Linked DNA regions of Mytilus edulis. The protein of the gene in region 2 purifies or fractionates together with the protein of the main gene of each other region. This does not show direct contact. Links are inferred from orthologs where the notes say so. Each region holds a gene or a part of one and is shown on either strand. Other genes may lie near its edges.

Evidence for each region.
Region 1: the proteins of hsp70-binding protein 1-like (region 2) and erythroid differentiation-related factor 1-like purify together in Homo sapiens (affinity purification with mass spectrometry; 3 studies listed by BioGRID and IntAct, counting the BioPlex papers as one, with this or other methods). This does not show direct contact. The link is inferred for Mytilus edulis from reciprocal best matches to the Homo sapiens genes HSPBP1 and EDRF1.

What each region holds. Positions count from the first base shown.
Region 1 is NC_092347.1:49,866,821-49,874,486, forward strand, and holds the start of erythroid differentiation-related factor 1-like, read right to left. Parts: upstream 3,241-7,666; 5' UTR 3,128-3,240; coding exon 3,104-3,127; intron 1-3,103. UniProt on the Homo sapiens protein: Transcription factor involved in erythroid differentiation. Involved in transcriptional activation of the globin gene.
Region 2 is NC_092350.1:18,199,978-18,207,441, forward strand, and holds the start of hsp70-binding protein 1-like, read left to right. Parts: upstream 1-4,228; 5' UTR 4,229-4,565; coding exon 4,566-4,691; intron 4,692-6,616; coding exon 6,617-6,782; intron 6,783-7,464. UniProt on the Homo sapiens protein: Inhibits HSPA1A chaperone activity by changing the conformation of the ATP-binding domain of HSPA1A and interfering with ATP binding. Interferes with ubiquitination mediated by STUB1 and inhibits chaperone-assisted degradation of immature CFTR.

The DNA.
Region 1 (7,666 bases), on a different chromosome or scaffold from region 2:
TATAGAACACATACATGACATATAAGCCTTTATCATTTTCAAAACAAAAGACTGATATCACAAATCTGTTGAAAATGTACATGATATACTTTTATTACTTCATCCAACTCAATTGTTAAATAATCATTCCAAAGAGTTTTTAGTTGATACTGTTAAAAATATGTAAGGAATTTTAATTATCCTATCGTTGCCACATCTATCCTGATTCCCTGACAATGTCTATCCATATCGAATCCTTTACGCGCAATTCAGCGGTACGCGGCTCCTTTGTGAACAGATAACGGATCCTTGCCGTAAACATAAGGTGAGTTAACCTAAACGTTCCTTTAAAATTGTGTTTTATTCTGTCTAAACACTCTGGTCAACAAAAAACAAATAGCAGGCGAAATAAGCCAACTATCAAGGTAAGTATATAGATGTATTTTATTTCGTTAGCTAGTATGATTACGAAATAATCACTGAAACAAGGGAGTGCAATTGTATGAAATTGCGAAGTGATGTTGACATTTTCCAGACTTTCAAGCATTTCTTCCCTGTTTTTGCTGATAAAAGTACTGAATTGTATTAGAAATTGACGTTCTTTTATTGGGTAAAACAATCTACCGAAATTCTAATGTTCAGTCTTCTGAAATTAGTTCAAAATGTTATAAAATTTGTGGCAACGGATCTTTATGATCCGTTTCCAACACGGTCTTTTAATTCTATCTGGAGCTTATTGTATACTCTTTTATACTCAATAAAATGAAATGAGCAATTAAAAAATGATGAACTGTTTATTCAAATCCATATTGACAGAAATAACATGCATAAAACGCTGTTTTTTGGAAAAAACAAAGGTTATGTGAGACACTTGCCCACTTTTTCTTGTAAAAATAGCCTGTTATTCTTAAAACTATCTATAGTCATAAGAAGAGTGGATCAGTTTGACATTCTAAAGTTCCGTGAACTAAGAATTTAACACAAAATACCTCTCTGATTTGTTGTCATCCATAACTTTCTAACAACATCACGTTGTTTTTACGGCAAGGATCCGTTATCTGTTCACAAAGGAGCCATGTACCGCTGAATTGCGTGTAAAGGATCCGATATGGATAGACACCCTGACCCTTGTTTTCCCCCTTTTTTGCCCCTAATTGCTGAATGATTTGAGCCATAACCCCCCATATCCATCCCTTTGTAGTATGGAAACTTGTGGTATAATTTCAGGGAGATTTATACACTTAAACATAAGTTATTGACTGAAAACTACAAAAATGCTTATTTCGGCCTCTTTTTTGACCCCTCACTTATTGAAAGTTTCAGAAACCCGCCTCCCACCTTGGAGCAAGAACCCCAAAACTCAATTCCAGCCTTTCCTTTGTAGTAAGAAACCTTGTAGCATAATTAAAGAGAGATCCATTCTGGCATTCAGTTAAACCCAATTTTTTGCCTGTAATCTAGAAAAATGCATCTTTTTGGCCCCTCATTCCTAAATGTTCAGGGATATTAACCCCAAACTAAATTAAAGCCTTCCCTTCGTTATATGGAACCTTGTGGTACAAAGTCAGAGATATCCATACAGTTATACATAAGTTATTGTCCTGAAACTACAAAAATGCTTGTTTTTGACCCCTTTCTGGCACTTAATTCCTAGACTGTTTGCCCACACAACCCTTAAAATAAATCTCAACCTTCTACTTTATAGTATGACCATTGTGGTACAATATCAGAGCAATTAAAATACTTATACACAACTTATTGTCCTGAAACTAGATAAATACTTGTCTTGGGCACCTTTGGGCCCCTAATTTCCAAACCGTTGGGACCATAACCCCCAAAATCAATCCTAACCTTACTATTGTGGTAACAAACATTGTGTAAAATTTTTATTGGTTTTTATTAACTTATACTAAAGTTATTATCCGGAAACCATTCATCTTAGGATGACGCTGATGAAGAAGACGACGGCGTGATACCAATATACGACCAAATTTTTTTTAATTTTTGCGGTCGTATAAAAACATATATTCAATTTTTAATGTAATCAAAGTTTAATTTTGGACCCTTTGGACCTCATTAAAAACTGGCCCAATTATCAAAAACATGTTTAGATTCAAGCATATCAAAGAATCTCAAGAATTCAGACATTTTTACTTTTATTTTCAAAGATTATCACGTGACCACGAGAAAACAGTGACGATTTATGCAAATGACCAATATCTAACACCTCGTTCATTCACGATGCAAGTTATCAAAATGTTCGAGAGCTTCCGATTGTTATTGTGGTTGGCACTAAATGCTTAATATCGATCTCCTGTCCTATGAAGGAGGTGAAAAAGTATAAACATGATAAATATTTGCATATTTGAGTCTCGAGTTCATGAAGTCTCTCGTAACTTGACGTCCTTTTGAAAATAAAAGTAAAAATGTCTGAATCGATGGGTCACTGTGAAAACTGTCTAATTACATATGTATGAGAAATTAAAGGGCGACAGGTACATTAATGAGGGGGGATAGGAGGGGTCTTGATCCCGAAATCCCGGACTTGAAAAAACGAAATCCCGAGGTCCCGAATTTAAATAAAGCAAATCCCGACATCCCGAAATCCGAAAAAAAGGATTCCCGGATCCCGAAAGGGTCAATCCCGAAATCCCGATCTTAAAAACACCCGATCCCGGAGTCCCGATAAAGGTCCTATCCCCCCTCATTAATGAAGAGATAAATGAAAAATGAAAGAATTGATACCCGATCTATATAATGCCAAGGCCAACAGTTGGCACCAGAAGGGAGGAAGCAGCACATCTATTTTGGACAGGCAAATATCCACTTTTTAATATGGGACCAGCTCTGACGTCCCACGGCCCCAGCTTGTCTTGAAACACAGCCGTTAGACGTCAGAGTAATCTCGGACTTCCCACAGAAGTTTTCACAGTAGAGCTTCTCTCAAAGAGACAGAATCTCTACTGTGATAGTCGAGTTTGGTATATTTTTACCCCATTATTGATAGGATTTCAAACTCCTGTGGACTACCTATGGATAGAAACAAATATAAAATTTGCCTGTGCTACACTTGGGGGAACTTTAAGAGTGCAGAACTCAGCAGATCTCGTTCCCGTAGTCTTACCTTAATTTTCTCTGTGTTTTGCATTTTAGTCAGAAATTATTTAGGCTTATAGTTTCAAGATTTCGGACTAAGTCTGGAAATTTCCCGATTTCTTTAACTAAAGGGAGGTTATCATCTTCTCTATCATTAAAGTGTTTGAATTGATGGTGTATATTGGAACTTTTAAACGTTTTAAAGATAATGAAAATTAAGGTATAACTCGTTTGTAATGTATAAAAATACTCCTGTTTGCTAATGAACCTGCAGCCGGGGCGTGTTTTTTTTATCTTCGGTAGTGAACCAGAAGAGGTCCTTTTCTGTTTTTTTTTTGCATTGGGAAGATCTTCTGGCTCTCTTCCACCTCTTCTTTTTTAATAGGTGGTTTATACGACAGAGTCACAAAACTAATGACATTAATTAGTTTATGAAAGTAGATATAAGTTAGAATGTGAGCTGTGTAATACTGAAAAGTTTTTATGGTACGACAGCCTTAGTAGGACATCTCTGAATTGATTTATTGGTGTTAAACGCTAATTTCAACACTCATAATTTGGCTAGTGCTCAGTTTAAATCAATAGATGAGGAATGAGGAAGGAAAGAGTTCATTATTAAAATTGAGAAAGGAAATGGGGAATGTGTCAAAGCGATAACAACCCGACCATCAATAGAGCAGACAACAGCCGAAGGCCACCAATGGGTCTTAATTATTGTTCATTTTAATTTGTCGCTAATCAAGCCTATTTTCAGCCCTTACCAGGCAACCATATTCATATACGAAATCCTCATTTTCCCTAACCCCATCAAATTAATACTGATTTATCTGATGTTTTTCTCTTATTTAACACAAGTTTAAATTGATTCTAATTTTTAACGCCCAGTGATAAATATTTCATGCATACCTGAAGAAAACACGAGAAATATAATTATATAAAAACAAAGATATGTGATATGATTGCTTATTAGACAACTTTCGACCGGAGTTCAAATGATGAAGTGGACAAAAATGGTGGATGTAAGCAGTTATAGGCAACGGCCTTCAACAATGACAGAACCCGATACCATATGTAAAGCCGTTTATAAAAGGCCATGAAAAGTGTGAAACAATTTAAATGAAAAACTATACATAACAATTGTTTTTACACAATATCAAATATGAGTTCAAACAATCGGCCAGTCAAAGAAGAAAACTAACAACCTAACCAACGGTACAAAATAATGAACGAAAGACAAGTAAGTAACACAGCAACAAACGACAAGTACTGACTTACAGGCTCCTGACTTGGGACAGGCACATACATATAGTAATGTGGCGGAGTTAAACATGTCAGCCGCGGATCCCAACCATCCCTTAACATTGGACAGTGGTGTAACAGTTCAACAAAATGTTTGTGAGCGCTCAATTCTCCCCGAAGCTGAAACCGTATAGTGTAGCAAACAAAAATGGCTAGCAAACCTACAGGAATCACCAAAAGCATTAAATTATCGTTTATTTAAAGATACTTTGGAGTTTGAGAAATATTTAAATATTTTGAATGACAGGCATATATCCTAATTTCGAACTTTGAACATGAAATTTCCAATACAAACTATTATAAATTGTTATTTGGATGGAGAGTTGTCTGATTGGCACTCACAAAACATCTTCCTATATCTATTTAAAAGATGGCAAAACATAGAAAGGGAAAACAGAAAATGTGTATTGTGTAATTCAGAGGCCATTGGTGATGAATACCATTATATTTTTTAATTATTCAGCTTTTGATAACTGTAGAAAACAATGTATTGCATTTTGCTATAGAAATGGACCAAACACATTGAAGTTTTATGACTTAATGAATTCAAAAAAATGTACAGAACTGAACGAACTATGTAAACTTATTAAGGAGATCAATAACAAATTGAACTTTTCTGGGTGAACAATTGTAAATGCCTCTATCTACTTTCGTACATTATTTATTTATGTAATTGTATTGAAATATGTATAATTATCTCTATACCTTTGTAATTTGGTTTGTGAGAATAAAGATATATAGTACAATATAAAAATAACCTGCACAAATCAGTTGCTATTAAATTAACTCAAAAGATCGGTACGAGACACACACACAAAACCAGCCAACTAGAATAATGCCAAGAAATCCTCGCTAAAAATTCCGGTCGACCCCCAACGGCAGTCATTAGTAGCTAAAGATTTGATTTCATTCAAGAAATTAATGTATGACCTTCAAGTACGTGTCGCTTAGAACACGGCCATATACCAAATGGTCAAAATTAATCATCCATGTAATTTGCTCTATGGGGTGTTTGCAGAATTTCAACGGAGGCAATTTCTTGGCAAGACCAATAAAACACGCCCCTGACTTTGTTTATTGCAAAAGCATTTTAAAGGGACAATAGCTGTAAAATTCATGTTCACCGATTTGACTAAAATTCTCATATTAGATTAGATTTAATATGAGGAAGGCGCTACCTTAAATGCTTAACAAGACTGTAGTTTTTGTCTTGGATAAAATGATTAATTACGAGATGTTTAGGGAACGACCATCGAACATCAAACTGAGGCGGGAGGGGGGATATGTTATTTCTCTTTAAAAAATGTTCTTATTCCCAAATTGAAACAAAAAATATTCTTCAAGCAGAGGACAAACAAAAATTTAATCCAACAGATTTTCCCTAGCCATACATTCATGTAAAATGCTTAAATTTTGATTTTTTTTATATTGGAAACGTTGACATGGTTGAATCGCTTCGCGTGAAAAAAAATATTACTTAAACAAAAACAAAAAAATACCTCCCCTCCCTTTTTTTGAAGATAAATGGTTGCTCCCTTATGGTCCATACTGTTTTCTTCTGAAAATGAATTTACACATTTCTTATCTTGTTCAGGTGTATCAATTGAAAGCAAGTTAAAAGCGCAAAGTTAAAAATCCAGTTCGGGATGAAAATTTCAGGAACTCTTTTTTTTACTCTCCCTTGACACCATTTGAAAGTATGTTAAGAGGAAACGATGATAGTCCGTCGGAAGGGGACGATAAATGGCTGACCCGTGTTAAGAGAGAGCCATATCTCTTGCACCGTTAAAGACACCCTTGTAGAGTTCGAAAAAGAGCAGGCTAATGCCGCTACAAGGCAGCACTCGCACCCGCAAAGTGGAAAGGGATAAATTTACAAAACTTGTTTCCCAATCCACTATAAATGAGGGGGGATAGGAGGGGTCCTGATCCCGAAATCCCGAGTTTAAAAACATGAAATCCCAAAATCCCGAATTTGAATAAAGTAAATCCCGACGTCCCGAAATCCTAAAAAAAGAATTCCCGGATCCCGAAAGGGTCAATCCCGAAATCCCGAGCTTAAAAACACCCGATCCCGGAGTCCCGATAAAGGTCCTATCCCCCCTCATAAATAAATATGTTTAAACTCAACTAAAACAAAAAGCGCAAATGCCCGAAGTGTTTCAATGGCAAATACCCATAGTTTTTGAAGTGCAAATGTCCTTTTATGTCTAATCCTATTGTCAATGTTTTTGGACAATAAAATATGTTTAAACTAATGTTACAGGTTAAAAAGCGCAACCTTCATACGCCTTGTCTTTCACGATAAAGAAAATGCGTTGCCCATGGATCTTTCACGATCAATTTTGATGAAAAACCAACAAACTTCAATGTTTTCAAAAACAAAATGAACGGTTTCAAGGGGGAAAATCTCACATTTTCCTGTACTATCTGACACACCAAATATATCATTATATCTTGGAATATGATCATTATATATGCAAAACGTTGATCATTATATATGCAAAACGTGTTTTTTTTTAATCCTCTTTATCCTATTGCACACTAGTATTATCTAAAAAGTTGAATACTTTTGACAGACGTAATTATTTTTTCCAAATTTGTTCCGCGTTTTAAAAAAAACAGTAGATTTTTCACAGATTTTGAAGTAAAACTACAATTAATTAGATTCACGATCCGAAACCAGGCCTTGCGGTCATAAAACTTTAGAGCACGATTTTTGTACTCAGACTCAAGAATCAACCAATCAAAACGGTGCTTTGCTTTTGGCATTTCAATTGCGCCAAAAGAAATCTTTCATTTGCGTCACAAACCATATTTCATTTGCGCCCAGGGGCGTAGCTGCCGTTAGGCACTTTAGGCACGTGCCTACACATAATTTTTTCACAAATATTTTTTTTTTTTATTAAAAAAAATAATAAACAACGTTATCTGTAGATGAAGTTGTCAAAACTCTTTAATTATCGAATGTCATGTGTACACTAGTCTCTCGTCCTTAGTGAATGGAATATTGGCTAGAATTGAATGTTTTTACGATTTTACCTTATATAGAAACTATAAACTAGAACTTTGGTTTAGATCATTTCACTTCTAGACTATCAACAAAAACTTGAATAAACCTCAACTTAGACACATGAGTTTTTTAATTAGCTGTTGTTAGTTTTCAACTAGCTTTCCACTTTGTCTTCACCCGAATAGCCAATGTTGGTCGTCCGTTTGGCTGTGCAGGATGTATAAATACGCAGTCACGTCTGGTCAGAATGGGGACATTAAATCCGATGCCTAGTTGTAG
Region 2 (7,464 bases):
AAACTATCACTGACAATATCAAATGGTGCAGTATTGCGAGGATACTTCTATTATATATAAAACCGTATCACTGACAATATCAAATGGTGCAGTATTGCGAGGATACTTCTTTAATATATAAAACCGTATCACTGACAATATCAAATGGTGCAGTATTGCGAGGATGCTTCTTTAATATATAAAACCGTATCACTGACAATATCAAATGGTGCAGTATTGCGAGGATACTTCTATAATATATAAAACCGTATCACTGACAATATCAAATGGTGCAGTATTGCGAGGATACTTCATCTGTTTTCACGAGAGACTGTTTTGTTGAGATCTGTTTTCTCAACTGTTTCATGTTGATTCCTAAAACCTTTCTGTGGTATAACTACTAAAATATACTAAGTTACTATTGAATTTGTTGTTGTAGTTTTCTATGATGTATATAGATAAATGTACAATTAACATTGATAATATATACGTGGCTATTATCATTTTTTTAATATTCTCAGTGAAGAGACAGGGGTGAATATGTATGTTAACCTTGAATCATCCATTTTTAAAGTTGTCTGGCTGTTTAGATGGCAGCTCTCAGTGCCGCCTACGTTTGGCATAAGACAAGATAATTCGCAAAGTTTTATAACGACCAAAAGGCATTGCAATCTTCCAGCACAGACTTTCAGATTTATTTCCCAAAGCTTTAAAAGATTTTGTAAAACCAAAGCTATGTTGAGGATTTAAAAGATTCTGCAAAACCAAAGCTATGTTGAGGATTTAAAAGATTCTGTAAAACCAATGCTTTGTTGAGGATTTAAAAGATTCTGTAAATCCAAAGCTATGTTGAGGATTTAAAAGATTCTGGAAAACCAAAGCTTTGTTGAGGATTTTAAAGATTCTGTAAAACCAAAGCTATGTTGAGGTCTTAAAAGATTCTGTAAACCCAAAGCTATGTTGAGGATTTAAAAGATTCTGGAAAACCAAAGCTATGTTGAGGATTTAAAAGATTCTGTAAAACCAAAGGTATCTGAATGTTAACCTAGAGTTTTGTTCTGGGTGTAGAAAATATTTTGAATCACCCTCTCTCTTCATTTACACCCCGACGCTTGGATTTTACGAGACCGGGTTATCGTAGTACTTACATGTGCATTATATAAAATAAAAGTTGTTACGTCATGTCTTAATTATAATAAAATGTATTTTCTCGCCGATAAAGCGATTGTTTAACTTACGTAAAACGAATAATTAGTCAATTGATTTCATGTATAGGGAAAGTTGCGAGGAATTTTTTTTTCCTGTAGTAAATATGTAATTGATTTCGAAACTCCTTTAACTGCCTTGTGGTACAATCCAATAAAAGAAATTTATATTCACCCCTGCTTCTTATGTTGTAATAACATTGCGTGGGATTAATGTTTTGTTGCTTATTGTCACTAACCACGTAGGCGGAAACTCTGATAAAGTGATACATTCCCCATGTATCTGCCACTTCGAAAATTGTTTTAGATTGTAGAAATAAGACATCAAAGGCATTTTTCACAAATAAATATTTAATTGAAACAAACAGTAATAAGTTAGAACAAAATAAATACAGTAGTACAATAAATACATAATTCACAATGTATATATATTACAATATTAGATACTAATAATAGTTTTCCAATGCACTATTTCGTACAAGCAGTCAGTAATAACTTAAGTCATGATAACACAATTTGATCTTTGTGTTAAGTCGTTGTCGATGTGCAGTCGAATGTTGCTCAGTCAGTTTCTGGGCAAACACTGGGCATGACTGGGTTTAATGTTCTTCATAAAGATTGAAGCACCGATGCCGTCATCTGTCCCTGTACATCTGCTAGTTTGTAGAACTCAATCCATTCACTTTATACCTTTTAGTTAAAGCTGAACTTGTTATTCACAGCATGCCATTTTCTAAACCATATGAGATGACAGCTCCAAGCACGACCAGGAGGAATATGGAGAAACCAAATACAAGACCAAGCCATACACTCTTTCTTGATGTCCTCTTTACTGTCTTCAGTGTAACAGTCTGTAAAAATAAATAAAATGTTAACAACATACCCCATTTATCTTTATTATGTTAACACCATAATCCATTTATCTTTAATTGTAAGATGTATGTAAACTACACACAGTCATGCAAATGACAGTGTGTTTGACATTGATTTGGTATTTAGATATTTAGGAAAGGCAGTATAAATCAATCTTTATATCATCTATAATACAGAATCAGCAATAAAAATCAGAAGGAGAAATAGAGTTACAACTTTTTTTAATTTTGCGGTGTGTTTGTGTACGTTACGAACTAGGAATATATATATATATGTTTTCCTTCCTTGTCCATATGAAAGTCAGTCGCAGAAACAAACAAATGCGTAATATCTTATCTCAAGACTAATTCCGCCTACTTTTTTTTTATATCTACAAGTGCATTACATGTATTTGTATCTAACTGACGATAGAAGCGACATAATAAAAGTGAAAGATCAGACAAGAAAACTGCTTCAATAATTTACAATCTTGAACTTTATACAATTGATCCTTTTCATATTTTTTTAAATAATTTTAAGCTAATCTGACTTACCGTAGATTTATAGACTGGTACATTTGCGTAGTGTCTGTGTGGGTCTATGACAGTGTAAGGAGGTAGGTTCCACTGGTTCTGTGAACAACTGGTACATGATGAGTTGTCAGACATCAGATGGAAAGGAGGACTTTGTTCTGAAGATACTGTGGAGTATGTGTCCGATGGCCTCAGAATACGGCTTTGCACACAGCTACCAGAAGTCGTAGAACAGTCGTCCATAAAAAGTGCCACCATACCACTTCTGTCCACCTTCATGTTGTTCTTTCTTGGAGTACTAATAACTGGGACGCGGTCGTATACCATCTTGTTCATTTTCTTTTGTGGAATCTTGTTAATTGTTGTATTGTACATCTTTCTATCTTTATATTATGAAACTGTAAATCAAAAATAAGATATTAATTATAATTTATATTAATTATAATAATTCTAAGACCAAAACGTCTATTTACAAAAACATTTTTTTTTAAAATAAACCATGTGTAAAAATGCATTAGAACTAATGGTCAAATTGATATGCACTAGCTTGATAATATATAAAATTAAAATTGAGGTTATTTTGAACAGAAATTCACAAATAAAAAATAAATAATCATCATGTCTTTATTAAAACCCTCCAAAGAAAACTTATCCCTCATAAAACTCTTACCTTTCTTTTAAACTTTCTTTAATATTCGGGAATTATTGAATGTTTTAATATTTGTTTGACGTTCTTTTATAAACGAAAGACAGTTGTGACTTAATTGGATTATCAGACTTTTGGACGACTTTTTTTTGAGATATGTCTGTCTGCTCTAATAATACTTTGTTGTAAGGGGTGATAAGTGAGAAGTATACTTAAGATGTTTTGATAACATTTGATATCTATAATTGAGTTCTTTTGTTGATACCTTTACTAATTATGTTGTAAACCTGTACTGATAATGATTAGATTAAAATTGGATTGGTTTTGTTTCTTAATAAGATTTGAATGTTTGTTTACTTTACAATTAAAACTAGAGTAGAGTTTCATTTCCTTATAGAACTCCACTAGAATGGCACGTTACAGATAGAGTATATAATCTTCAATTACTTTTTACAAGGATTTGTATAGTCTTACTATACAAATCCTTGCTTTTTATAAAATAATTTAATGAATGATTTAAATGCACTCTTTTTTTTTAATGAAAACAAAGCTTTATTTATGAACTAATTTTACTTTTTTATCAAATGTCTTCCCGTAATTTTTATTTAAATCAAACTTGAATTCCCAACGATTGATAAACGATTGGTGTATTAATTTGGTACTACTGTCTGGTATCTTTGGTGAGTGTTTTTCTTTCTTTCTTATTGATTTTTTCTTTCTTTCTTTCTTTCTTATTGATTTTTTTCTTAATTTTTAATGCAAAGAGGTCTCCTCGATTTCATCATATTTATTTACTATTCTATTTTGATATCTTTTTATTTGCACATTTTGATATTACAAATAAATCATTACAGAATACAGGGTACAATTAAATAACGCTTAGGACTTGTTTATTGACTAAACGAAAGACTATATTCTTATTCATTATTTTATTAATCCCTTCATGTAATAATTTTATGTTTCTTGTGGTATGGGTGAATGCGTAACAAGTTCGAATATATTGACTATGTTTTAGATAACCCTATTTCCCGGAAACACCAAAACTAATTTTAGAATGTATTCCGGAATATCTCAATGTGCTTTTGGAGAATTTTCTACAATTTTCTAAACTATATTTAAACTTGCCTGAGTCATTTCTGTTCTAAAAGAGAAGCATATAAGTAAACCATATCGATATATGTTCCGTGAACTTACTTGTATCCGATTTATTCAACAGTAGTTCGAAATTTTAGAGATTCACTTCGACTGAAGCAACTTAGCCAACTATTACTTGTATATTGATTTGCTCACATTTTGTGTCTGTTTATTGCTGTACCTTACGTAAAAATTGTTGACGAATAACTTATTGAAATGGCCAGTGGAGATGGTAAGGACCAGAGGAATCCAAAAGATATGAAAGCATTGTTGAAATTCTGTTTGGAAGCAACAAAGGATGAGGATGCAAAATCAGAAGAATTTGCTCCTATGGATGAAGAGGTACATGTACTTGTTTATATAAATACTCTAATATGGAGACAGGTATAACATTTGAAAAAGGATGCTATAGGCTATAAAAATAATAATAAAATTACCTTAATCAAAGTAACCGTAAAATGACACCATGATTATTTTGAATCTTTATTTTCAAAGTCCATCAATTAATGATTGAGGATCTCCCAGATTGAACAATATATCAGGAGTTTCTCTAAGGATGGACAGAATCTGTATGTTATTTTATGTAAAGAATCTGTAATCTGTAGGGATTTTGAAGGCAAGATATTATATTTGGTCATGGCAGCCCTGGTTTCAGCAGTGAGTCAAAGAAATTTTATTCCTATATGTTTGTTTGTATTTCAGTCTCCACATCTAAATAGAGAAGTGAGATGATGTCAAGTTAAGGTTACATGTATACATGTATTTAAACTTTTACAATAAAATGGTGATATTTGGGATCGGTTAATTATGTTGATAAATTACCTGATACAGCATCTTTGGACTCTCCAGTTTTGAATATGATGAGTCCAGACAGATTTTCAATAGGCCAGAACTCATGAACTCTGCATAGTTAGAACCCTGCAATAGATAATCCATATAACTAAATTGGTAAAAAAAATTCCCACCATATATATGATATCATGATTTATATACATGTACGAAAAATGGGTGGCTTAAAAATCAATGGAAAAGGTGGGGTGTACATGTAGATACATTTTTGTGTACATGCATGATGCATGTACCTACATGTACACAAAATTGATGAAATGTGGAAAACACCTAAAGCAAAAACATTAAAAAGTCTCAGTCAAAAAATATTTAGCAAAACTAGCAAACCTGCAGGGTACTAGAAAATATTCATAATTCTTTATTCAGTACAAATCAACACTTAATTATATAATAACCAGGTGCAGTTTAGGTGAGGTTGAAGATGAAGTTTATTGATATTTAAATGAAACATTGGCAATCCATCATTAATATTTGGATTTTAAAATACAACAACAAAAAATTATTAAAAAAATCTGGCCTTTTAAAAACAAAACAGAAATTTAAATCTCTATTTTACCCTAGAACATTTATTATTTGGATACTTTAAAAAATTTGGGAGACCAGCAAGGAGCATACATCAATGTACATGTAAGAAGAATTATATATTCCCATTATTTTGTGGTTCTGTCCTTTGGTCATCACTTCTGTTTTATGATATCATGTAGTAGCTTGATATATCAATGATGTTTTAACTTGAACATGTTGTAATGATTTGTTTCCTCTCAAGTTTTGTGATTGATATACTTTATGATATATTTTATTTGTATTCTGAAAGGAATTTTCCTGTTAAGCACTGGTTCTTTTTTGCATATGTATAAAGGAATGAATAGTTAATTCCTAACAGTTATTTGTTCATGTGACTGATATGCATTAGGAACATGTACAAATGTATGTACAAAATTCAAATATATATAATAATAAATAACCTAGGGACAGACAATTTTACTTTAAAGTGGAAAACAATATCCTGATCCCTATTTGATGGAAAAAAAATTCTGTTCAAGTAGATGACCAAAAAAAATATTCTAATTCCAGATTTTCCCCATACCTCATAGTGTTAAATTTTTGAAAAACTAAATAGAATTGTCATGATTGTGCACAAATTTTTTTCTGACTCTGCCATAAAACCATTGGCATACCCCCTCCCCCGAAGTGAAATGGTTGCTTCCTAAAATTTTAACAAATTCTATTTTTAAAAAAGTGCTACAAGTACGTGACCACTGCTATTACAAGATAAATATTTGAGACAAAAAGTAATTAAGTAAGGTTTATAATTGCAGGGCTGAAAGTATAAATTTTGTTTTATATTTTATAATTGAAATTAAAGATTTCCAAATACATATATGCTAATTTAACTAATAGAGTTATAATATTGACAGAGAAAGAAATGGTTAGAGCAGGCATTGGTTGGCATGTCTGTAAGTCCAGTACAAAGAATGAGGACATGTATTGAATGTTTGAAAAACAACCAAAGCAGTGATGAAGAAAGAAGTCAAGCTATGGAGGAACTGATTGAATGGGGTGAAAATATGGATTATGCCACAGGTAAACCTTATAGAAAGTCTAAGCACTAAAACACCTTTTCTTCTGATTGGATGAACTTTGACTTAATTGCCTGCTATCATGCATGCATCTATAATACTAAAATTACGAGGTCCAATTTGTCAGCCATCATCACGTAAAAACGACGAATCAAAGAATTCATCTTTATATATAACTAATATAGTACAAAGGTGTAGATTAAAAATTACACCACTCCAGGCCCTTTTGTTTTCCACGTAATTAATATTGCCAATAATTAAGAAGTTCCGGGTCAAGTCCGATACCGATACCAATAGTATATTCACGTGTTACCTATTACCTTATCTGTACGTTCCGCATCTAACAGGTGCACCACCAAACGGTGTATTTAGGATTATGCTATATACATGTACACGGATCATAATCACAGGGTTGACACTACTAAATTCAATCATTGTCAAATTGTTACCTATTGTAGTATTTTAATCAGTAAGACTTTCTAAGATAACAATACGAATACTAAAAATCTGGACTTAAAATAAGGTGTATATAGGAACCGTTTTCAATTTGTTAGCGGGCATGTCAGTTAACTGCTAGTAGTCTGTTGTTATTTATGTATTATTGTCATTTTATTTATTTTCTTTTGTTACATCTTTTGACATCAGACTCGGACTTCTCTTGAACTGAATTTTAATGTGCGTATTGT